4 linked regions of the Drosophila melanogaster genome follow. The protein of the gene in region 1 interacts with the protein of each later gene in a biochemical or structural test. Each region holds a gene or a part of one and is shown in the gene's direction. Other genes may lie near its edges.

The links.
Region 2: the proteins of Cam (region 1) and ninaC interact in a test that uses a peptide from one of them, tested with the Drosophila melanogaster proteins (2 studies listed by BioGRID, with this or other methods).
Region 3: the proteins of Cam (region 1) and trpl interact in a test that uses a peptide from one of them, tested with the Drosophila melanogaster proteins (2 studies listed by BioGRID).
Region 4: the proteins of Cam (region 1) and Ric interact in a test that uses a peptide from one of them, tested with the Drosophila melanogaster proteins (2 studies listed by BioGRID, with this or other methods).

The regions. Positions count from the first base shown.
Region 1 is NT_033778.4:12,256,736-12,263,562, forward strand, and holds the start of Cam (calmodulin), read left to right. Parts: upstream 1-2,662; 5' UTR 2,663-2,723; intron 2,724-3,296; exon of another isoform or gene 3,297-3,304; 5' UTR 3,305-3,450; coding exon 3,451-3,453; intron 3,454-3,540; exon of another isoform or gene 3,541-4,078; intron 4,079-6,827. Other genes in the region: Vha36-2 (vacuolar H[+] ATPase 36kD subunit 2), read left to right, coding at 620-1,144, 1,220-1,816. UniProt on the Drosophila melanogaster protein: Calmodulin mediates the control of a large number of enzymes, ion channels and other proteins by Ca(2+). Among the enzymes to be stimulated by the calmodulin-Ca(2+) complex are a number of protein kinases and phosphatases.
Region 2 is NT_033779.5:7,376,147-7,385,781, forward strand, and holds ninaC (neither inactivation nor afterpotential C), read left to right. Parts: upstream 1-1,555; 5' UTR 1,556-1,719; intron 1,720-2,238; 5' UTR 2,239-2,254; coding exon 2,255-2,542; intron 2,543-2,637; coding exon 2,638-3,501; intron 3,502-3,559; coding exon 3,560-4,497; intron 4,498-4,565; coding exon 4,566-4,858; intron 4,859-4,917; coding exon 4,918-5,189; intron 5,190-5,256; coding exon 5,257-5,543; intron 5,544-5,609; coding exon 5,610-5,759; intron 5,760-5,814; coding exon 5,815-5,912; intron 5,913-5,975; coding exon 5,976-6,029; coding exon of another isoform or gene 6,030-6,193; exon of another isoform or gene 6,194-6,611; coding exon 6,612-6,799; intron 6,800-6,864; coding exon 6,865-7,280; intron 7,281-7,332; coding exon 7,333-7,609; intron 7,610-7,660; coding exon 7,661-8,041; 3' UTR 8,042-8,198; downstream 8,199-9,635. Other genes in the region: Wnt10 (Wnt oncogene analog 10), read left to right, coding at 926-1,113; CG5149 (uncharacterized protein), read right to left, coding at 8,741-8,845, 8,904-8,994, 9,114-9,220, 9,285-9,635. UniProt on the Drosophila melanogaster protein: Required for photoreceptor cell function. The ninaC proteins combines putative serine/threonine-protein kinase and myosin activities. Essential for the expression and stability of the rtp protein in the photoreceptors.
Region 3 is NT_033778.4:9,750,957-9,757,768, forward strand, and holds the start of trpl (transient receptor potential-like), read left to right. Parts: upstream 1-2,740; 5' UTR 2,741-2,883; exon of another isoform or gene 2,884-3,021; intron 3,022-4,657; 5' UTR 4,658-4,773; coding exon 4,774-4,803; intron 4,804-5,081; coding exon 5,082-5,227; intron 5,228-5,336; exon of another isoform or gene 5,337-6,446; coding exon of another isoform or gene 6,447-6,790; intron 6,791-6,812. Other genes in the region: CG1690 (uncharacterized protein), read right to left, coding at 6,447-6,790. UniProt on the Drosophila melanogaster protein: A light-sensitive calcium channel that is required for inositide-mediated Ca(2+) entry in the retina during phospholipase C (PLC)-mediated phototransduction. Required for vision in the dark and in dim light. Binds calmodulin.
Region 4 is NT_033778.4:16,106,118-16,112,909, reverse strand, and holds Ric (Ras-related protein interacting with calmodulin), read left to right. Parts: upstream 1-2,892; 5' UTR 2,893-3,063; coding exon 3,064-3,283; intron 3,284-3,481; coding exon 3,482-3,538; intron 3,539-3,635; coding exon 3,636-4,153; 3' UTR 4,154-5,470; downstream 5,471-6,792. Other genes in the region: Asph (aspartyl beta-hydroxylase), read right to left, coding at 1-121, 196-321, 380-708, 769-927, 984-1,169, 2,239-2,290.

The DNA.
Region 1 (6,827 bases):
CCATTTTCTAGGGATTAAGCTAATGTAAATTAAAACATCATTTTCGAGAGCTAAATAAAAATGCTGTTTTAAATATCAGGCATAGATAAGGCAACGTTGCGTATGCGTAATTTTCCATAGGCAACTATGCGTATGAGTAATTTAAAATGATTTTGGCGGATCAGGAATTTGTTTGGTATTTTTTTTTTCAATTATAGGGTTAACAATTCATTTAACTGATTGATAAATAGTTTAATTAGTATAATTACAGCCTAAAATAACTATTCATTTCTAATTCTTATTTTGGCAAGCACTAAAATTTCTTATTCATACAAAATATTTATAATATACACCACTGCATTCACTATACAAATTGAAAGTTTTGATAAGCTCGAAAAGAATTCAAGGGAGTAAATTTGTTGACTTTTTGCCGATTGAGTCATAAAATCCCAGCTAATTCATAGCACTCTTCCACAATTTTCATATTTATTCCATAAGCATTTGAAAACCTCTTATAAGCGTGGTTTTAAAAATATACATATGTTTTTATACTCACATCAGTAATTCGTTTGTAACAAAGTCTACAATTCGGCCAAATTCAAACTCTACGTGATCAGAGTCCAATTCCAAAGTCACCGCCATGGCCAAACGCGATATCCTGCCCATCTTTCCATCCCGCGCCAATTCGGTGATCATGAAGCAGCGCGTTTTGGCGGCTAGAAGGGGCGTGGGTCTCCTCAAGCGGAAGCGGGACGCCATCGATATGAAGCTACGCGAATTGCGTCGCATCCGCTTCGACCAGGACATGCACGGCGATGAGGCGATGCGCAATGCCATATTCTCGATGGCAAAGGCCAATCTTCTGGGCGCCGATTTCAAGCCGCAGATGGTAAGCCGCAGCCACGTGGCAACCGTATCGCTACGCCGCACGGAGATCAAAATTGTGGGCGTCAAGCTGAACACCCTGGAGCTGGAGACGAAGGGCGTGGGCGCTTTTCCGCTGGCTGGTCTCAGCTGTGGCGGTATGCAAGTGAGCCGAATCAGGGACTCCTATACGAAGGCACTCAAGGCACTGGTGGAGTTCGCCTCTCTGGAATACCAAGTGCGAATGCTGGAGGCAGCCTCGTTGCAGACCAACATGAGGGTCAATGCTCTGGAGCATGTGGTAATTATAATTAATTCATATGATCCATATGTTATCATGGATAATCTTCAATAAATATCACTTTGTATCCGCAAGGTAATACCCATCCTGCAAAATACCTATAACTATATATGCGGCGAGTTGGAGGAGTTCGAGCGCGAGGATTTCTATCGCCTGAAACGCTCCCAGGCGAAGCAGCTGGAGGCCAAGATGGCCTTCACCGAGCTGATCAAGACCAAGAACATGACCGACGAGGAGCTGGAGACCTACATAAAGCGAAACATAAATCAGACGCGTCCTCCAGCGGCCGACACACCCTTCGATCAGGAGCAGTTCGAGGAGCGTGAGGTGAAGCGGCGCATGCGGGAGGCCCGTCTGTCCCTAAAGCAGCGCCGCGAGCAGGAGAGAAAGGAGGCCATCAAGCGGGGCGAGCCCCCACCGCCCACATCCTTCATCACCACCCACGGAGCCTCGTTGAGTTTCGCTGGTCGCCAGCGGGATCCGCGAGCCAGCAGTGGTGATCTGTACAGCACCAAGCGGATGCTCCTCTCCTCCGGACCGGAAAGGAAGTCCGCCAGTAATGTGACCGAAAGGAAGTCCGATACTCCTCCGCGTAATAGCCAGGAAACTCAGCGCAGATCCAGCCAGATGTCGAAAGATGTCGTAAATGAAGATCCACCCGAAGAAAGTTAGTTAATCGGACTCACAAATCCAAAATCTAAAGTTGTCCAAAAATTCTTAATTATTTTTAATATGGTGTGCAAATAGAAGATTTATTTTAGGTGATCACTTCGAAAAAGTATAGCAATTTCAGTCGAAAATCGAAAAATATATGGAAAAATTTACCGTCATTGTTATTAATAACGTATACGTATGTAATTTCTGTCTGCTGTATAATATACATGTGTATGTGTGTATGTTAATTCCCCATCATATGCAATGGCAAATGCTATATGTTTGCAACAGCTGACTTTACAGTTCGTTTTTTTTTAACATCGAATGTTAGTTTAACATTTACGTTAACATTTATCCGTTAAGAATAAAATTTGCAACATTTTGAAGTATATTTTTGTCAATTAAAATTTGAACTTAAAAATCGAAGAACTGTTTACATAAACATAAATCACAACCGGTAATTAGAATAAACGGACAATAAAAAAGACATTTGTTTATATAGATGTACATATGTGAGTACATACATAGTTGATTCATTTTTTTCTATTACTGCAAGGGCAAACCTATGCATAAGTTTATTTTTGCAGAAGCTAGCTTCCTATTATTTATAACTTTAGTTACCTGTAGTATGTTGATACAATTTTTGTACACACCTATTTTCGCGAAAAGCGCCGGCGCGACCGTTACAACGGCGAAATCAAACTTATTTTCGCTTTACGAAGGTGAGTGGATAAGCAACAGAAACAAACACATGCAGACGCTGCCGCTGCAAAAGCGAACTTACCCGGTTCGTTCTCGCGAGAGCGAGAGCGGTTATTGCTATTGCTGCTGGCAAAATAAAACCGTATATATGGCGACGCAGCGCTATTTTGAACACAAAGTTTTGAGTCGTCGACCGTTGCGGACGGAAATTCAGATTAGGATCGTGAGTTGTCAGAACAAACAGACCAGACATTGCATATAGAGAGCAGTATTGGGCCAACAAAAAAAAAAAAAAAATACAAAAAAAGCGAAAAGAGCCCACACCCAAGCACCAGGAGCTGCGAACGTTTCGCGGAAAAGCCAATTTCTCAGCGCCAGCCAAAAATCAAGAAAACCAACGAGCAAAAAATTAAACAAATATCTTTATAAAAACCGAATTCGAGCAACTCTTATATGTATTAGCTCTCCCCGCCATATATCTACTATATAAACGAGAATTCTGCCGTGTGCGCGCGTGTGTTTGGCATATTTCGCACAATAGATGAAAAAAAAAACGAATGAAAGCCACAAAAAAATAAAGAAGAAACGCAAGGCGAAAATTTGTATTAAATTCGGCTGAAGCAACAACACTAAAGAAATTTCAGAAACTGCCACGGCGAGAAAAAAAAGCGTCGGCGTCGGTGCTTTGGACGGACGCTTTTCTTTCTCTCCAAGCTGGCAGTAGTTTTTCTCCTCAGCCTCTTCCACCTCCAGTTGACCCCCCGAAAGTAATACCCAACAAACCTCTTCTTGCTTCTTTTGCAGTGTGTTAATTTAGTAAAATATAAAGTTAACCGCGCGTTCCGTAATTCCACTCACACACATACCAACACCCAAGCAGCAGCAGTAGCCGCAGCGGATTAAAACTTCGTCACTCTAGCAACAAACAGAAAAAAAAAACACCTACAAAAATGGTAAGTTTATGGGGCTGGAGAACATGTGCATCTTTATTTTCTGTTTACACAACCTGCGGCCATCATTTTCCATTGAAATTTCCACAGTTTTTGCGAAAAATCAAAGTCAGACAGCGACCCCCAGGGCTATTGCCATTAGTGCGAGCGGGAGGAGCGAATCGCTTCCAATTAGACGTTGTTTATATGGTTTTAACGGCTTTTCACACACACACACTCGCTACACACATCCCAGCACACCAAACACCCCGTCGAAAAGCAGCTGTCCCCGGGAAATTCGTTTACATTTTGCACCCCAAAAATATATCGCCTCACGGGTAGAAAAAACCAGTTTTTTCAACAACCCAATATCGTTGATTTAGAAACAAGAAATTGCGAACACCATGCAACCCCTTGAAAATATGGTAGTTTATACCCCTTTCACAATGAAACATAATCAAAATCCATAAAACTGCATTGAGAAAAAGTGAATGCAATCATTTGAAATTAAGTTTATACTTAAACTAGTATATTTAAGCTGCAAGATTTTCATGTTCTTAACCTGACTTAATCAAATGTTCAACTTTGGCCCCTAGGGTCACAGAAAACAAGCAGCACAATTAAATAGCAATGCCAATAGCAAGAATTTACACACATGTCACGTCACTCGTCAAAATTATTATTTATTTTATCAAGGCTGTCGCACACGGAATGTTGACGCGATCGGGTTCGCCCTATAATAATTCCATGACGTTCGGGTAGAAATACCCCTGGAAACCCAATCAGGCGTGGAAAAGTGGAAACTCTTATCAGCATCTCGAGCAACACCTCATTTTCGAAGCCCCCCTGCTTGCCCAACCCACCACCACCATTTGGGATCATAAATCAATGTGATTTTAGCCAATTTGTTGAGCATTTATGCACACACACACTCGCATTCCTACATAGACGCGTTGCCATCGGCACTTTTATCAGCAATTTTTCAAAGATCCCCGCAAATAATAGAAAAGCGCCCTCCATTTTGCTTATCAGTGGAAAATGTGTGAATATATATTGATGATGAACAACAAAGTCGCCGGTCCCGGCATTATTGGCCTCTCCTCTTTGCCCCGCCGTTCGTTGTTCGCTTGTTCTTTGCTTTCTGGTTGTATTTTTTATTTACCGCACACTTGGCCGCAAAAATTGAGGTTAGACACGGCCCCATGGAAATGGTGAAAAAATTCTTTAGAGGCATTTCTCCTGCTCTTGCGCTCAGCTTAACCGTTTCGACGCTCTCTCGCATAACCGTTTCACACACTTTCTCGTCTCTCTCTATGTGCAATTATTTCGTTTGCGTTATCAGTTCCGTTTTGTGCTGCGTCTCTCTCTTTCCGTTTCTTTCAGCATTTCATTTTTTTTTGCGCCTTGCGCTTGTCACTTTTATCGGCGCCTGCCTTTTCTTGTTTTCTTCCATAACCGTTTCATTTGCCGCATTGCGGTTATTTTGCTGTTTCGCCTTCGCCTTGGTTCGTCCGCTTCGGTCGTTCATTCGTTCGGCTCCGCGTATTCGTATTCGTGTGCGTGTGAGTGAGCGTATGGGTGTGTGTGTTGGCGGCTGCCTGTTCCACTTTGCCTTTTCGCGCAAGAATTTTATTGTAACGGCACAGGCGAACGATGGGGGAGGAGGAGCGCTGCAAATGAAGAAAAATTCCTGCTAGACGCCGCCGCTTAACCACATAATCCAATTTTCTTGCCGCCCTCTTTGCGCTTTCTTCTCTCGTTCGTTTGCTTTCCTCTGCGCTTTTTGATAAGAAAGCCCCACGCCCACTGCGATGCCCACACCCGCGCCACACCTTCTTTCAGCCTCATCTGGTGTCGCCTAATTTAATTAGCGATTTTACAGCTCACGCAGAATGCAAACAGCTTTTAATTAAAATATATCGCATCGCTTTCTACGTGGCCAATTTGTTTCAGTGATTCAACCAACGCTGCTAACTTGGCCCAGAAGCAAACATTTGCCAAGGGTTTTACTGACTGATCTTCAAAGTTTGTTGATCTTTAGCTCGGCTAATTATGAGATACGTTTGTCTGTATATCTTATTTGTTTCCGTTGAAAATGAGCCAACATTCATATAAATTTCCATGAGTCACTGTGTTCCTGGGCTGACTTCATCATATGATCATATGGCCTATGATGAATGCCCGATGATATGTGTGTGTGTCATGTTAATAATGGCAAATGACTGGCTTATGGCTCAGTTAGCACAGTTGTTTGGATCCCGGTGCGAATGCACTTAAATTGTACCCAAAAACCAAGCTCTCAATCTAACCGTCATTCATAAAACCAAACTAAACTCCATGAAACCGGTTGAGACCGGCAAAAAAAAAAAAGCGTCGGCTATACAACGGTAAACCCGGCAAACTTGGCTTTAACATAAAGCCGCATAATTTCAGCCAAGACCTGTTTTAATGTTGTATTTAACTGTCAAACTCATTGGAAGAAATAGTTTTATTCAGCAGAACTCGTTTGTGAATTTATAAATGATTCAAGCCCAAGTGTATTAAAATTATTGTTATCAAAATGTATTCATAAGTATGAATAATATTTGATATCATATTATTTGCAAGTGAAAAGTGATGATCTTGAACTAACTACTATACAATGACCCATCCAATGAGTCACTACCTTAAAAAATGACGGACAAATCCCGATAAATATACGCACAGCTTGAGTCCTGATCCCCCAGGCATACATTTTCGGAAGGCACTGTATTTGCCTTGGATGTGGAAGCTTCCTCGGGACGTCGTGGGCGTCTGATTGTGCATACAAATGGATTACCAATTAGGCATTAGCCAGCCCCCCACTCGATTAACGACCTCGCCCGATTGACTGCCATTAATGGATATCATCGGTGGGTGGGGTTTTGCTCATGTTGTTGATTGCAAATGTCGCCATTTGAAGACAGGAGGGCTTCAATTTGCTTTTCAACAGATTGGGGATCTGCATTTCGATGGGTGTTTCTCATTCGGTTTCTGTTTCTGGCTTAGTCATGCTTGCCAATGACATAACCCAGTTGAAAAGCGTTTTATCTGCCCCAGAGTACGCCAAGATAAGCTGGGCAAATTCAATTGAACGCCAACGCGACAAAAAGTGCAAATAAAACAGGTGCCACCAACGCGTTGCCGTTACCAAATTTGCTTGTATTCGCTGTTTAAACTCACCGAAATTCCCCCGATTAGATAAGGTCAAGCAGGGCGCTATAATTCCAATGCCAATTGCTGATTTGGCTTAAAGCGAGTGGGTTTCTGTTCTGTTCCATTTTCCTTGCCGAACGGAAGTTGTCCATAAAGGCTGGTCAACACGACATGTCTGAGAGCCAAGTTTGTTGTGCCATTTTTCAGATTTGGGGTATCTTTTG
Region 2 (9,635 bases), on another chromosome or scaffold:
TTTACGAAAAAAATGCGACAGCGACGCATGCGCACAGCAGCTCAGCTTAGCTTAGCTCAGTTTGGATCGGATCGGATTGGATTGGTTCGGATCAGCTCAACTCAGTTTGGATTGTATAAAGCAGTGGCGGAGACTGAAAATCTGAGGGGGGTTCTTATTTGACATTCTTAAAATAAAGGTTTTTGATATGTTATCTAAACTACAATTGGCCGAAACATACTAAAAGAAAATCGTTACTTTTTATGCTTGGAAATGAGTTTGGGTTAATTGTATCCCCTCATTTCTCCCCCCTTGCTTGTACTCTGGCTTGGGGGATCGGTCGAAACTGCGGCACGTTCACATCGAAATCGACGTCTAACTGCCACTTGCAATTTTCGTTAGCCATTTTGCTGTTGACACATTTGCAAATTATCAAGCGTCGCTGCTGCCCCGCCAACTGCCAGCAGTTTAAAAGTGTTAATTACGACGCAAATTTATAATTAATCGTCGGCTTAGCCCGGTAACTCCAGCTTCACTTCAAGCTCCAACTCAGGCTCCAACAGCAGTGAACTGGGGAGCAGCCAGCCCATCGGGCGTTTTGATTCATGTGTCCGTGTCCGGTGTCGTGTCTATTCAAATGATAGCAATTAACGCTGGCAATTATCGTCGGCCAAACAATTATGATACTTTGTTTGTGCTTTAGTTTAATAGTTTATTTATGGTCTTTTAATTGCTTGTCCGCCAGTAGGCGGGATTAACTGCCATTTGGCGATGGATTGCATTTGATGAGAACACTTAATCATTTGCTAATTACGCAAATCTTACACCACTAATTTTATTAACTTGTTATTTTTATATTTTAATAGATACCACATAATTTTCTTTTCTGATGATTATATCTTTAGAAAAACATAAACATGACTAATCTGAGCCAATTTCCGCACAGGCACCGTGGGACGCAAGTGCAATCGGAACACCACGACCAGCGACGGATGCACCTCCCTCTGCTGTGGCCGTGGCCACAGCCAGGTCATCCAGCGGAGGGCGGAGCGGTGTCACTGTAAATTCCAATGGTGCTGTAATGTGGAGTGCGAGGAGTGCCACGTAGAGGAATGGATTAGCATATGCAATTAAGGACAATGGACGCAAGACGAAGGACGATGAAGTGATGGAGCGATGGAGCCTCAGCCACATGCATAAGAAAAGACTTTTCTTCATTCTCACAGAACTTAACACACAAAGAAATCAGTATTACAGAAAAAAAAACATAAAGTACGCAATAGGGCAAACATCAATAAACAACGTGTGTGAATGCAATGCCTAGTTTAGCAATCTCCAGCCATTTGGAATACGTATAAATATATTTTGTAAATACGAACAATAAGATGCATAATTAGTCTGTCAATCAGCTGACTTTCACTCGCATTGCCAATTTCCCTTTCACCTCGGCATTTTGGCCATCTGTGTCGCCGCTTTTTTCACTTGCACGTGAATGTCGCCGCCGCTAATTGAATTAGCCAGCTAAATAGTTGTCCAAGGTGTGCACCCAGGTACTGCCCATTGAATGGCTTCCTTCCTTGCCAGTGAAAAGCCTCCGATTGCATTGGCCCATCATTTAGTTGGCTAACGGCAGCGGTACGTGCTGCATGCGTGCGGTCGGTTCGAAGTTCCACACAAGTACATCCTTGCAACCAAAAATACACAGCTGCAGGATAAGTGTGCCAATCTGCGGCAGCGAAGGTGTGTCCTGAAGGATTAAGTGTTTGAAGCCCTGTGAAGTGGATATAATACAAATAACCCCCTAGAATCCCTTTATCCAAAGTTGCTGATTCAAAATACAAACCTAGGAAGGATTAATTACCAAGGATAAATCGTACATTTAACTTTTTCGTTTTCACATGAATTATTTAAGTGTTTTATAGAAAATGGTTTTATTATAATTTTACATTTCAAAATTGCATCTTATTTGTTTAAAGGTCCTTGAAATCTTTCGTGCTTGCAAAGCAAACATTCCAAAATATCCTTACGTTAAGTAAACCAAAGTAACTTAACTTTCACCTTTAAAGAAAAAGCAAATTGTTATTAGAAGCAAAAGATTACAATGAAACCTCTAGAATGCCCATTCTTAAGTGTTTTGCAACAATGAACCCAAATATAATGCGATTTGCATGAGGGAAAATTGAAAAAGAAAACCTTTGAAGCCCATTTTATGATAGACCCAATTCCCAAGTTTAACCCACATGTTCTTCGAATATTCAGAATAAGCATCTAAGTCATGATGTATTTACCGTACGCGCAATTGCCGGATCCTACGGATAAATTCGAGATCTACGAGGAGATAGCCCAAGGCGTCAATGCCAAGGTTTTTCGGGCCAAGGAGCTCGACAATGATCGGATCGTTGCCCTGAAGATTCAGCACTACGATGAGGAGCACCAGGTTTCCATCGAGGAGGAGTATCGCACTCTGCGGGACTACTGCGACCATCCCAATCTTCCCGAGTTCTATGGCGTCTACAAGCTGTCGAAGCCAAACGGACCTGATGAGATCTGGTTTGTCATGGAGGTGAGTCAAAACATTTTGTTAATATTTTATTAAATTTTTTCCAAAAATTTAAATCCAATTTTTTGTAATTTATATAAACCATTTGAATATTTCAGTACTGCGCTGGGGGAACAGCAGTGGACATGGTTAACAAGCTTTTGAAACTGGATCGTCGAATGCGAGAGGAGCACATCGCCTACATTATCCGGGAGACTTGCCGTGCTGCCATCGAGCTGAACCGTAATCATGTCCTGCATCGGGACATTCGGGGAGATAACATATTGTTGACCAAAAATGGACGGGTCAAGCTGTGCGATTTCGGTTTATCCCGTCAGGTGGATTCCACTCTGGGCAAGAGGGGCACCTGCATTGGATCTCCCTGCTGGATGGCTCCCGAAGTGGTGTCCGCCATGGAATCCCGCGAACCGGACATCACCGTTCGTGCCGATGTCTGGGCCTTGGGAATCACTACCATTGAGTTGGCCGATGGAAAGCCACCGTTCGCTGACATGCATCCCACTAGGGCCATGTTCCAGATCATTCGCAATCCACCGCCGACCTTAATGCGACCCACTAATTGGTCGCAGCAGATCAATGATTTTATATCCGAGAGTTTGGAGAAAAATGCCGAAAATCGGCCCATGATGGTTGAGATGGTGGAGCATCCATTCCTCACGGAGCTCATCGAAAACGAGGACGAGATGCGATCGGACATCGCAGAAATGTTGGAACTCTCTAGGGATGTAAAGACTTTGTACAAGGAGCCGGAATTGTTCGTGGACCGCGGCTATGTGAAGAGGTTCGATGAGAAGCCGGAAAAGATGTATCCGGAGGACTTGGCTGCCTTGGAAAATCCCGTGGATGAAAACATAATCGAGTCACTGCGTCATCGCATTTTGATGGGGGAATCGTACAGTTTCATTGGCGATATCCTTTTATCCTTGAATTCCAATGAAATCAAGCAGGAATTTCCGCAGGAGGTAAGTTGAAAACATCTAATATGTATACTTAAATATGTTATATTTATCCTTTCTCTAGTTCCATGCCAAGTATCGCTTCAAGTCGCGTTCGGAAAACCAGCCGCATATTTTCTCGGTGGCCGATATCGCCTACCAGGATATGCTGCATCATAAGGAGCCGCAACACATCGTGCTCTCCGGAGAGAGCTACTCGGGCAAGTCCACAAATGCCCGGCTGCTAATCAAGCATCTGTGCTACTTGGGTGATGGAAATCGTGGGGCCACCGGGCGCGTGGAGAGCTCCATCAAGGCCATCCTGATGTTGGTGAATGCAGGAACTCCGGTAAACAACGACTCCACAAGATGTGTCCTACAATATTGCTTGACCTTTGGAAAAACCGGCAAAATGAGTGGGGCCGTTTTTAATATGTATATGCTGGAGAAACTACGAGTGGCCACTACGGACGGAACCCAGCACAACTTCCACATCTTCTACTACTTCTACGACTTTATTAATCAGCAAAATCAGCTTAAGGAGTACAATCTGAAGGCTGATCGCAATTATCGTTATCTGCGAGTTCCGCCAGAGGTTCCGCCATCGAAACTCAAGTATCGTCGTGATGATCCCGAGGGCAATGTGGAGAGGTACAGGGAGTTCGAGAACATCCTGCGGGACATTGATTTCAATCACAAGCAATTGGAGACCGTTCGCAAAGTTTTGGCTGCCATTTTGAACATTGGCAACATCCGTTTCCGGCAGAACGGAAAGTATGCGGAAGTGGAGAACACGGACATTGTGTCCCGGATCGCCGAGCTCCTCCGTGTGGATGAGAAAAAGTTCATGTGGTCTCTGACCAACTTCATTATGGTCAAGGGCGGGATCGCCGAGAGGCGACAGTACACCACTGAAGAAGCTAGGGATGCACGCGATGCGGTGGCCAGCACGCTCTACTCTCGATTGGTGGACTTTATCATCAACAGGATTAACATGAACATGTCCTTCCCACGGGCTGTGTTGTAAGTAATATTAAAAAAAAAGTTACAAATTCATAAGTTTAACAATGTGGCTTAAATAACTTTTTAAGCGGAGACACAAATGCCATCATTATTCACGACATGTTTGGATTTGAGTGCTTTAATCGAAATGGTCTGGAGCAACTAATGATCAATACTCTAAACGAGCAAATGCAATATCACTACAATCAACGTATTTTTATCAGCGAAATGCTGGAAATGGAAGCTGAAGACATTGACACCATCAACTTGAATTTCTATGACAACAAGACAGCTCTGGATAATCTGCTAACCAAACCGGATGGCCTGTTCTACATCATTGACGATGCCTCACGCTCCTGTCAAGATCAGGATTTGATTATGGGTATACAACCAATTCTGGCACCACTTTGGATATGTGATTTAACCACTTTCCATCTACAGATCGCGTTTCGGAGAAGCACAGCCAGTTTGTGAAGAAGCACACTGCCACTGAAATATCCGTGGCTCATTACACGGGCCGCATCATCTATGATACGCGCGCCTTCACCGACATCAACCGGGACTTTGTGCCGCCGGAAATGATCGAGACCTTCCGCTCCTCGCTGGATGAGAGCATCATGCTCATGTTCACCAATCAACTGACCAAGGCTGGCAATCTCACCATGCCATTCGAGGCAGTGCAGCATAAGGATGAATCTGAACGGAAGTCATATGTAAGTCTGTCACAGTTTTTATTAGCTAACCTAAATTTGGTATATTTTTGTAAACTATGCATTTCAGGCCTTGAATACCCTAAGTGCCGGATGCATCTCCCAAGTGAACAATCTACGTACCCTGGCGGCCAACTTCCGCTTCACCTGCCTGACCCTGCTCAAAATGCTAAGCCAGAATGCAAATCTCGGCGTGCACTTCGTTCGCTGCATTCGCGCTGATCTGGAGTACAAGCCCAGATCCTTCCACTCGGATGTCGTCCAGCAACAGATGAAGGCCTTGGGAGTTCTGGACACTGTTATTGCTCGCCAGAAGGGATTCAGCTCGCGTCTGCCATTCGACGAGTTCCTAAGGCGGTGGGTAATCGATTCCATTCCAGTTTCCATTTAAAGATTTCTAAATATTTAAAATATTCGTATTAGATACCAATTCCTTGCCTTTGACTTTGATGAGCCCGTGGAAATGACCAAGGATAACTGTCGTCTATTATTCTTGCGCCTCAAGATGGAAGGCTGGGCCTTGGGCAAGACCAAGGTGTTTTTGCGCTACTATAACGATGAGTTCTTAGCCAGGTGAGCTATCAATTCATACGCATTGAGAAAAGCAAGTACTATCAATTGCTTTCAGATTGTATGAGCTGCAGGTGAAGAAGGTCATCAAAGTGCAGTCCATGATGCGAGCTTTGCTAGCACGGAAACGAGTTAAGGGCGGCAAAGTTTTCAAATGTAAGATATAAATAATACTTATACAGTATATGGTATGAAATCTAATTTTAAATTCCCTATTAGTGGGCAAAAAGGGACCGGAGCATCATGATGTGGCCGCGTCCAAAATACAAAAAGGTAAAAAAACGCAGGTGGATAGGCTAAGAGAGTACGACGAGGAGCACATCGACATAAGCGAGACGCCCTCGGAGGCGGAGGAGATGTTCCTCGAGGCCAGAATGGATGAGGCTCTGGCAGCGGTGCGAATAGCCAAAATCGAGCAGGCCTCCGCCGAGGAATAGGCCCCTACTATATACCATTTATACACACTATATCACTATATCGATCGATACTAATCGTAATACGACTACCAATAAAATGTAGAAAACGCAAACAACCAGCTATCATCTAGTCTAGGGCCTCGGCAAACCACTTAAGCCGCTTAGTGGTGTCCAATGTGGATACCATCCCACCCCATCCCGCTGGGCGGTTGTGTTCTCCATCTGATGCAACCAATCGGCTTATAGCTGTCTGAGACATAACACTTAACATCGACGGCCCCTGCGAAAAGAGATGAATTATAAGTGCTGCGTAGAAAAGAAATGAAAATTTAATTAAATTAAGGTGACTTCCCTCTCATTCACCACCACCGTCCACCGCCGCGACCGCTTTTCAAATGGGTTACTCTAACGGCCTTCCTCCGTTTCCATTTTCCCACAGCCTTCAGGGGATTCCGCGACCGCGTCCGCCTCCCTCCGCTGGTCAACGAGAAGTCCGGCCAACTAAACGAGAACACCGCCGACTTTATCCGTCCGTTTGCCAAGAAATGGCGCGAGAAGTCTATCTTCCAGGTCCTCCTGCACTACCGCGCGGCTCGCTTCCAGGACTTTGTCAATCTCTCACAGCAGGTGAGTTCAAATCTCTTATCTTCAAATCCAATATATATATATATATATATTATATTATGTACCAGGTCCACATCTACAACCAACGAATGGTGGCTGGCTTGAATAAATGTACTCGGGCTGTGCCCTTCGAGAGGATCAATATGCGCGAAGTGAACTCCTCGCAGCTAGGACCACTGCCAGTGCCCATAAAAAAGATGCCATTCCGCCTGGATCAGATACCCTTCTATGACACCCAGTATATGGTGGACCCGGCCAATTCCATTTCCCGCCAAGCCTTCCCCAATCAGCTACTAACGCAGCACATGGAGGACGATGAGCCTTGGGACAGCCCTCTGCAACGCAATCCTTCGATGACTTCTTGTGCCCTGACCTACAATGCCTATAAGAAGGAGCAGGCTTGCCAGACCAACTGGGATCGCATGGGCGAGAGCGACAATATCTACAATCAGGGCTACTTCCGAGATCCCCAACAGCTGAGGAGGTTAGCAAAGATACTCAAAGGTTGAACTTAAGTTTCTAACACTTTTTTTCAGAAATCAAATGCAGATGAACATGAATGCCTATAACAATGCCTACAACAGCTATAACAGCAACTATAACAACCAGAACTGGGGCGTACATCGATCCGGATCCAGGCGCAACTCCTTGAAGGGCTATGCGGCGCCTCCACCTCCTCCTCCACCAATGCCCTCATCCAACTATTATCGCAATAATCCGAACCAGCAGCAACGCAACTATCAGCAAAGATCCTCGTATCCTCCGTCGGATCCAGTTAGAGAACTTCAGAACATGGCTCGCAACGAGGGTGATGTAAGTGTATGTCAATTTCCTAAGGAAATTCTTCAGATATTTTCTTTCCAGAACTCTGAGGATCCACCATTCAACTTCAAGGCTATGCTGCGCAAGACTAACTATCCGAGGGGATCCGAGACCAACACCTATGACTTTAACAATCGCCGCGGATCGGACAGTGGTGACCAACACACGTTCCAGCCGCCCAAGCTACGCTCGACAGGTCGCCGGTACCAAGACGATGAGGGCTATAATTCATCATCGGGAAACTATGGTGTGTCTAGGAAGTTTGGCCAGCAGCAGAGGGCTCCGACCTTGAGACAATCTCCAGCCAGCGTGGGTCGCAGCTTCGAAGATAGCAATGCTAGATCCTTCGAGGAGGCAGGATCCTATGTAGAAGAGGAGATTGCACCTGGAATCACTCTTTCAGGCTATGCCGTCGATATCTAAAACTAGTGATTAAGAGTAAAAATATTAAAATTAATTGTTATGCAAACCATAAGACAATTTAGCTAAAACCCACCTAAAATTCCAAAATAATGATTGAAGTTTTCTTCATCACTTTCTCAAAAACGTTTCACACAATGGAATAAATAAAATGTCTTGGGATAAATCGTTATTTAAATTTTCACTTTTTTCTTACCGCATTTCATTTTTCTATCTCTATAAACCACTTAATTATTTAGGTTATTTGTAGGTAAATGCTACCTTGGCATACTCAAACATTTAACTTTAAAGACATTGATATAAATTCAGCAATTAATTTGCATTTTATTGACGTAGGATAAAAATGGGAAAAATTCGACGAATTAACATTGCTTATTATGCTTGCTTCTTTGTTACATCATTTAAATGATTTACTTTTCTCACTTTAAGATCTAAAACGCAACAACAATACTCTCAGTATTTCATAAACTATATCCATTATACATTGTATATATAAACATTAATACCTAAACAAAAACGTTTATAGGAATGGATTGAACAAATACTCTTTTGTTCGCAGGACTTTTTTTGTGTGTTCGATAGGGATTGCAAAAAAGCTAAGGAAACTGAATTGAATCATTAACTGCACACCCATATCGGGCATGGTCTCACAAATTCTCGATGATAAAACAAAACTTTTTCCTTAAATAGTTTCACATAATATCAATCATCCATGTTGGGCTCACGCAATCCATCCGAGTGCATTTTCTTGCCCGCAATTTCCAACATGGCCCGATCTTCCAAATTGCCATCCAGCACAGAACGTTTCTATGGGTTAAAGATATGATTATTTATTTAATATAATATTGAGTTTAATTTGACATACGTGACCGTCGCCTTCTTCGTCTTCTTCTTTAACTGGTAAGTCTCCTACGGCCCAAACTTCCATGTTTCGTATTTTGAACTGTTTCCGTTTACTTGGGTACGATAAATAATTGGTAGATTAACCACAATTGTTTAAAATAATGTTGAATTAAAATATAGAATCTAGTGGTCTGTAAGGTGAAACATAATCAAGATTTTAATTTACACTCACCTCAACTGCACGTAGTCTCGATATGTAGTGCAACTTTCAACGCTTTGTCCATCGCCGAAACTGCAGTCAATCCAAAGGCCCCAAAAATCAAACTGACCGCCCATGCCCTGTATACGAAAAATATAAACATTTAGCAAAGCAATCAATCAATTAGCTATAAACATTACTCACCAGGCCATTCGGCATAGTCTGCTGATTCAAATTCAAATACTGATAGTGATTGTTATAAGTTGTGGCCGAAAAGCACCGCATGGCAGGGCTTAAGGTGTAGAGCAATGAGCTGTCATCGCCTCCAAATTGCGGTTTCACGGACCACGTTTCGGACGCGTAGCCGCCAAATATATATTGATCCTCGTCCTCAATAAAGAACAGCGTTGGTCCTTTGTCCAGCACTTTTCCCAACATCGTCGAGAAGCTTTCCCCGTTGATTTTCGATGAGAATAGAAAGCGCCATTTGTGCCGATGTTCGCGGGGCAGCTGAGCATTGATATACAGGACGTGAGGTAGTTCGATGATAGGGCG
Region 3 (6,812 bases), 2.5 Mb from region 1:
GGCCAAGAATTTTGTTTGTTTGTCTTCGATTTAACTTAAAGTCTCATTTCATTGATGAAAATTTCGCACTGTTTAAAAGGGAAGTGCCTCAGCGCATTGGAATGCGAAAATAAATATTTAAAGAATGCCACTTCCACTTGATGGCGTCATTTCAGCGAGCTGGGCGAGCATTTTCGAGAGAACAAGCGGAGAAAAATAAATCGGAAAAGTAGGGGACTCGAAAATCGAATGCGGCGCCCAAAAGTCGGCCATGGAAAGTGATTCGACGAAAAACGGGAAATACGGGAAATGTGAAATGCAAGCATATTTGGCTGAAAGCCCAGGCCAAATTGAGAATATGGTTTAAGTTGATTACACAAAAAAAAAAAAACTGCAGCTAACCGAGTTATGCAATTTTTGTTGCTGTTTCCGGCAATCTGTTTGCCCACTCGCATTTAAGAATCATTTTCCAGATCACTTAAGGGCTCTTAAGCACACCGCATCGAACTGATGCCGCATTATTATGCGAGCGTGCAGCTTGAAATAATATAACCGACATGCAATTTAGGGCGAGTGCAGCAACGGAACAGCCATAAATTTAATGCAAGACAAACAATATGACGTCTGGAGGGGGCGTGGCAGGTCGGCGCCATGGGAAAAAATCTCATCAACGAGCTGCAGCGAAACGAGGAGAAATATTGAATGCAATTTTATTTGCCACACACGCAAAGTGTGTGTGCAGCGCGGCAGCAAAGCAACAAACCGTTTGGCGAACTGCCGGGTGAATTATGGAAATGCATCATATTATTCCGCAGCTCCTGCTCCTTGGCCAGGATCGCCTCCTGCAGGATAACCTGCTGCAGGATAACCTGCTGCGAAATGTGTGAGGGCGTGCGTGTAACTATGCTACTTACTGTCTGTTTGCTTCTGGGACTGCCATCGCCAGACACACTCAGATCCACTGGAAAGTATTAGGAAAAGCTGTGAAGCTCAACAGAAAGATATAGAATTATGTTTAATTGCACTGGAAAATATTAGGAAAAGCTGAAAAGATCTACAGAAAAATAAAGGAAACTTGTTACCAATTGATTTATACTTTTTTGAGTTGCTGTTCTCCATTATTTATTTGCAGATTTAGATAGCACACAAACTTAGATGTCTTCGAAGTAATAAATTCATACTTAATTTATGTATTATTTATTATAAAATAGTTTATTTGTTAAGTGATTTTCAAAAATTTCGAGTGTATTACTAAAAGCCACGTGGCCAAAACAAGAAGATATAGCACAAAAAAAAGACAGGGGAAGTGCCAGATATATCGCAACGCGGCCAGAGAATCGGGAGATTGGAGCCAGGACGAACCTTAAAGGATGCTTTTACTCCGAACTGGAGCTCTTCGCCCACCGCATGCAGCTTGATAAAAGACGCAGTCATGGTAACCCACCTGCCACACCCGCCTCCTGCTCCTGCTCCACTCTTTTCCGCCCGAAAACCTCATCTGGTGTTTGTTTGTTTGTTTGGCTTCGCCTGTTTACGTGCAGTCATGCGAAGCTCCGGCCCAAACCTCGACTTTTCAGCTGATGCTGGAATCTGCTTCAATTGTTGTCTGTCGCCAAAGGATTCCCCTCATCCCTGCCCTCCTCGGCAGCCCAACAACCCGCTATGCTCCATCTCATCAAAATCCATTTTAAGATTTTTGATTTAATTCCGCCTTTGTTTGGCAAGTTGGTTACTGCTCATGCCCTCTGTGTATCTAGAGTTTAGATTTGCCTGGGCAAATTTGTTTATGCCCGTCAAAAGGCTGACTCTGCCGGAGACATATGAACATGTGAAGGACCCTCTTGGACTGTCTAGCAGTTCGTTGTATCCCAATTGAAGTGGAGCAGCCAGTGGAACCAGGAACCCTTTTCAATAGCAAGTTGAAAATGAAACAAACTATTGAAATAACACAATCATAGGCTCTTTAGGTTTACTTGAAATCAGTTTAATGGGTATCAGCATTTGAAAAAATTCGGTACAAGTGAAAAATTAATTAATTGAATTCAAACAATTACAAGTATTATGCTGCGTTACGATGAAATAATTGCAATATAAAAAAATTAGGCAATGAAAACACTAGTAGTAGATTTCAGATTTATAGCAAGTGTATAATGGTAGAAGGAGCAGTAGATTTATATGCAAGATGTTTCGAGTCGCAGCTATTAACATATATTGAAAACAGCAGCTAATCAATGTCAATCGAACTGCAGGCTAAACTGAAATTTTCCAAATCAAATTACGCACGCTGCATTGGGCAGCACGAAAGTATCCGCAAATGTGCAGCAGTTTGTGGCCGGAAAAGAGCCCGAAGAGCAAGTGGCAAACAATAGCTGTAGCAACCCAAATCAAATCATGGCAAATTAGTTGTAATTCAATTGCCGACAGTCGCCGTCTGGATCGTGGCCCCCACCTCCACCACCAGTCCCACCTCAGCACCAGCCCCTACATATGTTTGGGTCCTAATCCCCTTAGGCGAACTTGGCGAAAACTTGTTGATACTGTGTTTCAGCCCTCGACCTCCACAATTCATAACACCACAAACGTATATATAAACCTATAGAAATATATATATATATATATGTGTGGATAAATGTTGCACGGACAACCTCCAGGCGTATCCATGCGATGGGTGACAAATATTTGACGTTTTAGTCTAATTAAATTAGCCACATCGCCGCTCGGCCCTCGGGAAAGGTATAAATTTCTGCGCGTTAGTAGCAGCGTGTAAATTTCGCAGGTGGCACACGTTCGGGCTGCGTCGCGGGTTGTCTCTCGGCGGGTTTTCGCCTTCAAAAGAGCTGAAATTCAGATATACATAAACTACAACACACATTGTACGGGAATTCGGGAGTTCGGTGGCCAAACGTATTGTTATAAAGTATATGCCAGCATACAATTCATAGTCGCAGTCCTCTCACCTAAGCCGGTCACATGAAATTCCAACGTCCATTGTGCCAGCGAGTCGAACAATTGCACACGTTTTTATGTGCCGGAATGCAAGAAGTACGTATCCGTACGCTTGGTTATAAGTGGCTTAAGTGCAGTCCGTGAGCCAACTGAATTACGTGGCTATATCCTTCATTCATTGTGCTCCTGGTTGCTCCTGACTGCTCCTGGTTGCTCCTGGCAGCTGCAGGTTGCTCCTACCTCTTCCGTTGATTGTCAAGTTGGGGCTGTGTGTGCGGAGCTTGTGGTCTGTGACTGCTGGAGTTTCGATTCAACTGGCTGCCATCGCGATAAGCCCTTCGTTTTTATGAACTCTGTAAAATACTCAAAATTTGTTCTAGTTTTAATGAACTCCAGTGCGCTTGCGACAAAATTATGATACTTCGATCGGTGCCAGGCAGAATTAACACATCTCGGCTGCAGAGGGAGAAATTAGAGTGAAATATCATATGCATTTTACATCGTATGTTAACCGAATAGTTTATACTTGTTATAATATATACAGGTGCAGATATAATCCCATTTCGATGGGCAGTCGCAGTATGCACCTGCTGTGCAGGTGAACAGCTATAAATCCATTTATAAACGCTTCCCATGAAGTGGCGGATAAAACCGAATTTATTGCGACATTTTTATGTCCGTCCGCATTTTCGCCCGTCCTCCGCACTTATATTTCTATTAAGTTAATTAAACAATGCACCATCGGGGCTCCTGGGGTAGTCAGAACCACCTTTTGTTGGTACCGGAAGTGTTTTTTATGGAACAACCGCCATGATGATGGTTCCGAGTTTTTGCCTGCCGCGCATACAAAGCACTTGCATTTTTTATGACCAGCCCAAACACTTTTAAATGCATCTGCAGCATCCGCATCCATATCCGCATGCAGATCCGCATCCGCAGGAGCATAAAGCCAGTTTAAAGCAAAAGCATGTAGACGGAATGCATTTTTTCTTTGCGGATTATCGAAAAAAGCTCCTTAAATATTCATTTTGGCATTGTGTTCACACATGCGGAGGAAGGCAGCGGAAAATAAAAATATTTTCATCGGGTGTGGGAAAATATTGGGAAACAAAGAAATTAATTCTAATGGGAGAAACGATTGGCGATGATGTGAACAATCCAATGAGAGCAGCAACAACTAATACAAACTGCAGTTCGTTGCTAATGAGATGAGTGCAATAAAAATGTAAATCAAAACAGAAAGCCGATTGAACAATTGGTCATAAGTGGTGCAATAAGTGCTCGCGAATTTGGTGTTCAGTGTGGCCTTTGGAATTGACCAGTAACAGTCGGGAAACAGTGAAACTGCACAGTGTCTAATCAACTCACTAAATTGGCAAAACTTAAATCTTGCCCATGCAGATGGCACTTAAAAAGGGTTTAGCCAGCTCGGTCAGTGGCGGAAATAAAAAGAAAAACATTATAAACAGCTTAAATAGAAACTTTTTGCACGCCGGAAACCAGAAACCATAAACCAAGTCAAAAACCACCAGACACACACACACACACACCAACACACACAAGCACACCCAGTTGGACATATAACTATGGACTATACAACTATGAGTACAAAAGCAAAATCAACTTGAAAGTTGCATGTGGCCCGGCTTAGTATTGGACTTTTTTGGCTTTGCCATTGTGTATATAAATATATATGCCATATATGTAAATATCGTTCACTTTTCACTGCAAGTGTGCAAAGCCCTGCGACATGAAGTCGGATTTTGAACTCTGAACCCTGGACTTGGTACATGGAATACTAGTTACGAACTGCTGGCGTTCGGTTAAGTGAAGTGCACTAACTCTAGAATGGGTCGCAAAAAGAAGCTGCCGACGGGCGTAAGTAGAAACCCATCCAGGATCCCGATCCAGATCCGTATCCAGCAAGTAGCATGTCTTAAAGCCGCCAGTATTAGCTAAACGCCGCTTACCTTAAACGCCTCCAATGCCATTTAGATGGAAGCCAGACAATCAGCCCAGCATCCTCCACTTTGCACTTAATTTTCTTGTATGTTTATTTTTTATTTATTTGCAATTCCGCATACACGATTTCCCCCTCGCCACATCGGCATGTACGTATGTGGCTCCTGCTCACCTGTCTCTTTAAATTATGCCAGGTATCGTCTGGCGTCAGCCACGCCTCCTCCGCCCCCAAATCGGTGGGCGGGTGCTGTGTGCCGCTGGGATTACCACAGCCTCTGCTGCTCGAGGAGAAGAAGTTCCTGCTGGCTGTCGAGCGCGGCGATATGCCGAATGTGCGCAGGTGAGTAGCGCTTTTCACGCCTCCGATGCCCAGCAGGGAGGGGGGGGGGGTGGGTGGTGTTTCTGTATGGCATCTTGGGCGGGAGGGATACACTGCAAGAAACTCTTACCACAATCAGGTGTTGGATGAGCATTAGTATTCAAAGTTAATGTACAAGCTTAGCTAATGAATGTATCAATCGAGTAGAACCTAATGTATATTGATATATTTAGCCTTCAATTTAAAAGAAATAGTTAAACACACTACCACATTTATCCGAGTGTAGGGTGTTCGAATAAAAACCCTGACATTTTTAGAGGGGTATCACGAGCTCCAATGGTGGCTTCGCCCAGGGTAACACAGGTGTTGACTGGGCTGGGTCGCACAGGTACCATAAATCCCATCGGGAGCCTCCTTGGGTTCTTTGGATGCGGTGCTGGTGGTGGGTTCAATTATTTGCACACTCGTCTGCCGCGGGCCTCAAAATGGTTACCTAACTGGCATCCCGGCAGCCACTTAATAAGCAATATGAGGCCTTCGACCCGGATACTTTACGCTCGTTTACGGCTTTGCTTTAACAAATGTACGATTAATTCCGTTTGCTGGCAATGAATAAGAGATAAGCCAAATTATCCAAATACTTTTCGGTTGCCACTTAAAGCTGTTAACATGCACAATCAATTCGAGAAACGAATCTTATTGAAAAGCAACTTTTCGGATAACTTAAGTTCCCTTACCTGAAAGCACAACTAAACCTTACTTTTTGTTGACATCCCAGGATGTCATTTATGAACAATTCTTTATTGTTTTCATCGGGCGAGTGATACGGTAACAACAAGCAAATGAGCCGTGTCCGGGGTTCCTGTTTCATTTGTGATTCCCAATACGCTTTGGAGGCATGCACGATGTCCATATAATCTTGCATCTAATGTGAAATTGTGGAAGTAGTGGCGAAGTTAGTGCTAGTCTTGGATCTTGAGTCTACATGGAAATACGGCAACAACAAGCAAATGGGCAGTGTCCTGGGTTCCTGTTCTTCGTGTGATGCTCCTTGCGATTTTTAGGCATGCAAGATAAACCTATAAGCTGACATCTTATGTGGGTAGGGTGGCGAAGCTAGACCTAGTTATGGATCTTAAATCAACTTGAATATTGAGGTGCTGACGGTGCGATGTGGGTAAAAGTGAAAGTGTGACGGCTATGACGTCTATGACGGCTATTTGGGACGTTTTGGGAACATTTAAAAGTTGATAAAACGGTATGGGTTGAAGCTTTTCATCTCGTCCAGGGTGTAGCGGTAGCGGATGCCCTTCGAAGGCTCCTCCTCGGAGCCGTTCGAGTCGTCCTCCTCCTCGCGGATCTCAGAGACCCGCTCCACCCGGATGCCCTTCATCTGGCAGGCGCGGCGGTACAGCTGCTCCTCCCGGTCCATGTAAAACTGGCACGATACGCTGTGATTCGGAACGGGCGGCGGTGGGATCATGGGACTAGCCCCAAATGGAATCCCTGCTGGCCCATACGTAGCCGGGGCAAACCAGTTGTTGACCAGACCGCCTCCGGGCACCAGCTTCACAGTCTGGGTCTCTACAAGATTTAACGAACATAC
Region 4 (6,792 bases), 3.8 Mb from region 1:
CCTGCTCCTCACTCTCTACAGCTTTTGCTGGCACTGTATCCTCGGGATCATTTTCGAATTGCTGAGCCAGGGACTCAAATTCGTCGTCATCCCCATCATCTGCATCGTTTTTGTCTTGATCCTGCAATAAGAAAGTTATTTAGCAACAAATAAGAAAACCATTTAAACCAACAAGCAATTAGATATTTTACTAACATCATCATCGTCGTCGTCATTATTATCTTTGGCGGGAGCACTTTGTGCCGCATATTGGGATCTTTCCGGCTCTACTGATTCTTCGATCTCTTGCTCTTCCTCATCCTCATCCTCATCATCTTCCTGCTGCGAAATTAATTAATTTTTGGAAATATTCAATCTTTTCACAAACTAAGGATCATACCTCCTCAGCTTTCGAGAGCGGCGCTTCAGTGGACTCTACTGCATCATCATCTGCTGCTGCTTCGTCCTCATCATCTTCTTCAGCTTCATATTCGCCAGTGGCTTCCGTAGTGGCTTCAGTGGTAGCTTCTACAGTTGCCTCTACGGTGCCTTCATCATCGTTATCCTCCTCCTCTTCCTCCTCCTCCGCATCCTCGGCAGTTATGTTTTCACCCGCATTGTTCTCCTCATCTTCATCCTCCTCATATTCTTCATCTGCCGCTGGCTCATCCTCCTCAGTTGGCTCTTCCTCTTCCTCCAGTTCTTCTTCTAACTCTTCTGTGAGGGGCTCTTCGTCTAAAAAGTGTTCATATATTTAAAAGAATTTATATTAAGTTAATATTAACATACCTTCGTCTTCATGATCATCATGGTCGTCGTGTTCATCGTGATCATCTAACGCCTCTCCCGAGGGTTCCTGCACATCGTGACCATCATGCTCATCTCGATGTTCGTCCACCCAGCCATCAAAAACTTTCGAGAACCTAGACTCCGACAGAGGAGTGTCCACTAAAATAAAACAGGTATTCAGTACAATTCAAATTTCTAAGAATTCTATAACTTACGATCCTCCAGTCCGCGATTCTCCATGATGATCAGACCCACCAAACCGAGGAGCACTGCCATCAGGGCGAAGAATATAATCTTGGCGCACCAGTGACCGCCAGTTCCGTGATCGTGGTGCACATGCAGGTGGAGATCTTCGTTTCCCATCTTTGTAATGTGAACGCCGTGCGAAGATTCGTCGTCATCTGAGATCCGACATTTGCATGATAGTGAATAATAAAAAAACACATGTGATTACAAGCAGTTTAATTGAATCCACCTTCGAGTGTTTTACTTGGTTTTAGTAACTGAGCGAGACATTCAATTAATTTGGCAAAGCATTCCGGGGTGTGTTGGGAAAAATACATATAGGGGGGTATCTATTTCTCTACCTTGAAAACTGGACTGACGCAGAACAGTCACATCGCCCTCGGACTTGCGATCATCTAGACGAAAAGTTAGTTACAATGAGACATATACCGGCATTACAAGCTGATAAGACGGCGCCGGTTGGGGGGAATTGTTTATGCCTAAATATGCGCAACGATAAACAAAGAAGCCGCCCAGTCATGCTCTTGGGCAGTTGGCCAAGTGAAATTAAATGGCTTTACACATATATGCACCATCGTGGCTACTTATTTCGGTGCCGTGGGTGTAATGGCCCCAGAATCTTTACGGAAGCATCATTATCTGGTATCTATTGTAGTATCTGTGTATGTAAATCTCGATCTCTGTTGCATTGGAATTAATTTGCCGAGAAGGTGACGGAGCTCTCCATTCTCCAATGAGATAAAGATAACGCAGAGAAGAGAGCAATAGAGAGAAAAAGTGGCAGAGAGAGATAGCAATAAGAGGATACCCCAGGGACAACGAAACATCTGTTTGCCTTGGGAAAAAGATAAATAAATCAGGGAAAACCACTCTCTCTGATTTTTCTCGATTTTTGCACACCGATTCAATGCCCTTTTTCTTTGGCTACCGATCGAAATACCCACTTTATGGTCTACCTCCCGCCTTCCTCGCCCGCACACATGTCATGCATATATATTTTCCTGCTCGATCGGCACACGCATAGCGACAGAAAACAGGCGAGATGTATAATTTTATATAATAGGGCAAAGTTATTTTTAAAGGCACTCGACAATATTATTATGCTAATAAAAGAAATGAACTGCTTGCTACGCGGCGGCGGCGAAAAGACAAAACCGTTTTTCACACCAAATAACGGTCCATTCGAGTATGATTGTAAGTAAAAGTACCGTAACAGGGACTTACCGCGTTTTCGGCGCTTATCCTTGCGCTTACGCGGCTGCACATCGCCCGACATTTTGCTCGCTAAAGGCACTAAAACCTATGCCAATATAATGGAGAGTGTTTGTTTTTCCTTTTCGAGCGGACCGGGCAAAACGGGCGATCTGGATCGACGAACAGCACGTTACTAAATGCAAATACCGCTCGCACCGTGGGAAAATTATTTATAAAGAGACAGTGGCGTTGCCAGATCCGGCGGGAATGATGAAAGCTAGAGATGACAGCTGGGCAGTAAAGGCACCGCTATTTCAATTTTATTATTCTGGATGGAAAACTCATGACAGCTCTCAAAAACTATATTTACGCATAAATATTTATACATTTATTTAATTCTAATAATTATGTTTTATTTTAAATCGTGTTGTGTCGATAGATTGAATTTAATTTTAACAGTTCAGCAACGCAAACGTTTAGAAAACCCAAATGTAATTTTTTCTGTTACTCGTGGATTTTTCATATTTTATGTCTATGCGCTATCCATACAACAGAACAAATTGATTTATTTGATTTAAAATGTAAAGTGCTCAAAGTATTAAATACAAGTAAATAATTTAAATTAAAAAAATTAGCTTTTTTTTAAATATCGCATGTCATTAAAATTCATGCGCACTGCAGTCTCCAGTATCGTCACGCGCCCATCTCGAAGGGAACCAACCCCGACCAAGAAAAAAAAAAACAAGAAAATAATACACAATTGGCGACGGCGGTGCAGAGGTTCTCCGTGTGATCCGATCGAACGGGACTAGGACCGACACGGACCAGGTCTAAATCCGCGAGGTCAGCGGTATTATGGCCGGCGACATGTCCATCGGCTGTGCGGCCCTGAAGCGATCCAGCAAGCTGAGGTCCTGCACCAGCGCCGCCGACACGGACTCGATGCGGGTGCCCAGCGACCACAGGGACAACGGGAGCCTGATCAAGCCGCCTCCGGTGCCGCCGCAGAATATGCGCGGCGGTCTGCGGGTCTATAAGATTGTCATCCTGGGCGACGGTGGCGTTGGCAAGTCAGGTGAGCTATTCTAGCCATGGATTAGACGAAAGAAAATGCCGAGTTATCACTGCGCACTTTGATTGGGGCTGCGAAAAATCAATAAATTATCTCAATTTCTTTTACGCTTTGTTTTGACCCCCGTACCACCGACACCCACGAAACTCCACCAACCACCACTCCCAACGCCCTCTGAAAACGACGACGAAACCCGAACAGCTGTCACCCTTCAGTTCGTGAGCCACAGTTTCCTGGACTACCACGACCCCACAATTGGTGAGTAAGGCGCAGGGTGCGCAAGGCGTCTAAGGCACAAGCCCCCACAACCCCACTAAATGTATACCGGTTTTTTTTTTCTTTTTTGCTGCTGCAGAGGACTCCTACCAGCAACAGGCGGTCATCGACAATGAGGCCGCCCTGCTCGACATCCTTGACACCGCCGGCCAGGTGGAGTTCACGGCCATGCGGGACCAATACATGCGTTGCGGCGAAGGTTTCATCATATGCTACTCGGTCACCGACCGCCACAGCTTCCAGGAGGCCTCCGAGTACAGGAAACTAATAACCCGTGTCCGCCTGTCCGAGGACATTCCGCTGGTTCTGATTGCCAACAAGGTGGACCTGGAGTCGCAGCGACGCGTGACCACCGAGGAGGGCCGGAATCTCGCCAACCAGTTCGGCTGCCCGTTTTTTGAGACATCGGCTGCACTGCGTCATTACATCGACGAGGCATTCTACACGTTGGTCCGCGAGATTCGACGCAAGGAAATGCACAAGGCCCTGGGCACGGACTCCAATTCGGAAAAGATTCACACGGGGCGACGAAGTCGCTGGTGGCGCATCCGATCCATTTTCGCATTGGTTTTCCGGCGCAGACGAAACCTTAACTAGACCAGGAGGCGGATTCCTTGAAATGAGTGCAATATTAACCACAAAAACCAAGTAACTTTTGTTTGCTATATTTTGTATATAGCACATACCCATCAGATACAACATACAAAAGAGAAATTAACCGATCGAGGAGCAGATAACTAATTGTTATGGCCACAGTGGTTTATTTATTATTTGTTATGGAAACTATTTAAAGTACTTGTTGTTGGCCGGAAAGGATAGCGAGGCAGTAGATCAGCGATAGAGTATATCAATACGTTTAAGCACCGATCCAAAAGATACATATTAACAATGCACGTACATATGTTTATGTAGTAAATATTACTAATGTTGATTCCTAGACGAGAGCGATTAAGCAAGTGTGGCAATTGGCTAAAGCTCAAAAGCATTTAAATTCAGCAAGATCGAGGGGTCGAGTCTTCCCCCACTAACAATCTGAACAACTCTGAATCCTAGCCAGGAGATTAACCCAAAAGCCAATTGCCAGGTGCGAAGGGCAGAGAATTGGAGGATTTTTAAACTTATGTATGTACGTATTTACCCAGAATACACGCACATGACATACGTTACACGAGCCACACATTTAACTAATCGAATAAATGTTGAATTTAATGTATACTAATATTATAAATCGATCGATCGACCTAAGAAGTATGTAAAACGCGGGAACATTGCAAATTATGAAATATGAATGAGAATGTGCGTTCATTTCAGATCCAAGCCCAAATTGATAATTTAAGTCCACGACAGCCGATGCATTTGTTGTTTAAGTTTGAGAAAAGTCTATTGTTTATATTGTTAAGGACACACGTGTTACGCCTAAGTTTATTTATTATTAGTTTAACGAAATCTGTTGATTACTTTTACCACAAGAAACCACACATCACGTTCTCTAAGCAATCACCATGAGTTCCTCTCATCAATGTTAACTGCATCACCGGAAACAAAATACTAACACGGCTTTAATTACTCTGTTTGTTACATGATCCCAAAAAACAGTTGAATGGACTACCCATAATTACTAATAATTAATTGTTATTGCGAATCCTGCAACCGTTCGAACCAAACAGATCGACTGACGAAAAAAAGAAAAACAACAGCTCCAACACGAAAACGAATCAAATGCGGGTAGAAATATAATAGAATTGCTTTCGCCGCGAAAGTTAAGCGATTAAAAAGTACGTTTTAAGAGAAAAGGCTTGGGAACTAGATGTTCAAAGCAATGTGTCGTGTCCATGTTGTTTCGAAAACGACATACCTGTTCGGGAATAATATTGTGAAACCTAATACCTAATCGATGAAAAACCAAAACATTTTGATTCATAATGTTATGTACATTTTAAATGTAAAAAAAAAAATTAAATACAAAAGCACAAAATAAACAAAAACAATACCCTCAATAAAGATTTTTTTAACCCCGTTAAAGATAAGTGTTTTGACTTTAAAGGGCGGGTATTCCCCGGATTTAAATCCATTATCTTAGCCTAATAAAATTCGATGCCCGGCCAAATAAGAAAACAGTTAGTTAAACCAAGAGTAGATCAAATGTACTGTTTATTCATAAGTATAATATAGTTTGGTTGTATCTGATGCATCTTCGAGTTTTTCAACTTCTGTGTGAGAATTACACGATTGACGGTACAAAATACAAAAAAAGAGACATACACATATGTACTGTATAGTATAATTATATGTATAATCGTATTTTATAAAATCATAAAATACTCTTCATATAGTTGTTTGGTTGTTTTGTAGTATCTTTTTTTTTTTATGTTTTCCACTCGTTTTAATGCAAAGTACAAATATTAAAAACTCGCTTAATGCGCTCGAAATAGTTTTTCACTTCATCAAAAATTTTCCCTCTTAGCATCTCCCACGCGAAAACTGAATGCATCTCATTTGTGGCTTACGTTTAGTTAAATAAACATTTATCGTTTTTGTTTTGTTTTGTTTTGTGTTTAGTTCGGCTCTTGTAATGTAGTTTCGCTTCCAACTCCTATTGGCGGCCTGGTCTCTCTGTATTTGATAGATTTAATGGGAACATAACTCTCATCTTGACGCCTACGACCTCCTTGGACCCCGGGATCCAACATCCGATTCCGTTTCCGATTCTGTTCCTAATTCCACTGATTCACCTGACTCACTCACCCTCGCATACGACACAATCTCGTCCAGCCACAGCCGACTCTACACTTGACAACACAGTTAACGAAATAATAACATACATCTAGGAGGAGGGGGTGGACAGAAACGGACACAACTTGAATATGTTTACATATATCGATATATATTTTTTGCTTGCAGTGGCTGACTGATTGATCTGCTCTGCCCTAGTTTTTACAAATAATAATGCCAGAGTTATTACTGTTGTTTACTTCGGTTTATAACTACACTAGACTGTATATAAAATCAAATCCGCATTTGACATTCTACTTGGTGCTGCCTTCCCTTATATCTCGCTGCATCCCTCCTCCGCTGATCTTCTAGCTCAAGCTCTCTGTTTTCTGCTCATGTTTGTTGCTGGTTGGGTGGTGGTGCAGCTTCGTGTATCCGATGTTCTGGTTGTTCTTGATGTTGTTGTTGAGTGGTTGTTGTTCAGCTCGTTATTGTTGTAAAAGGTGTGTATGTGTGTTTGTGTG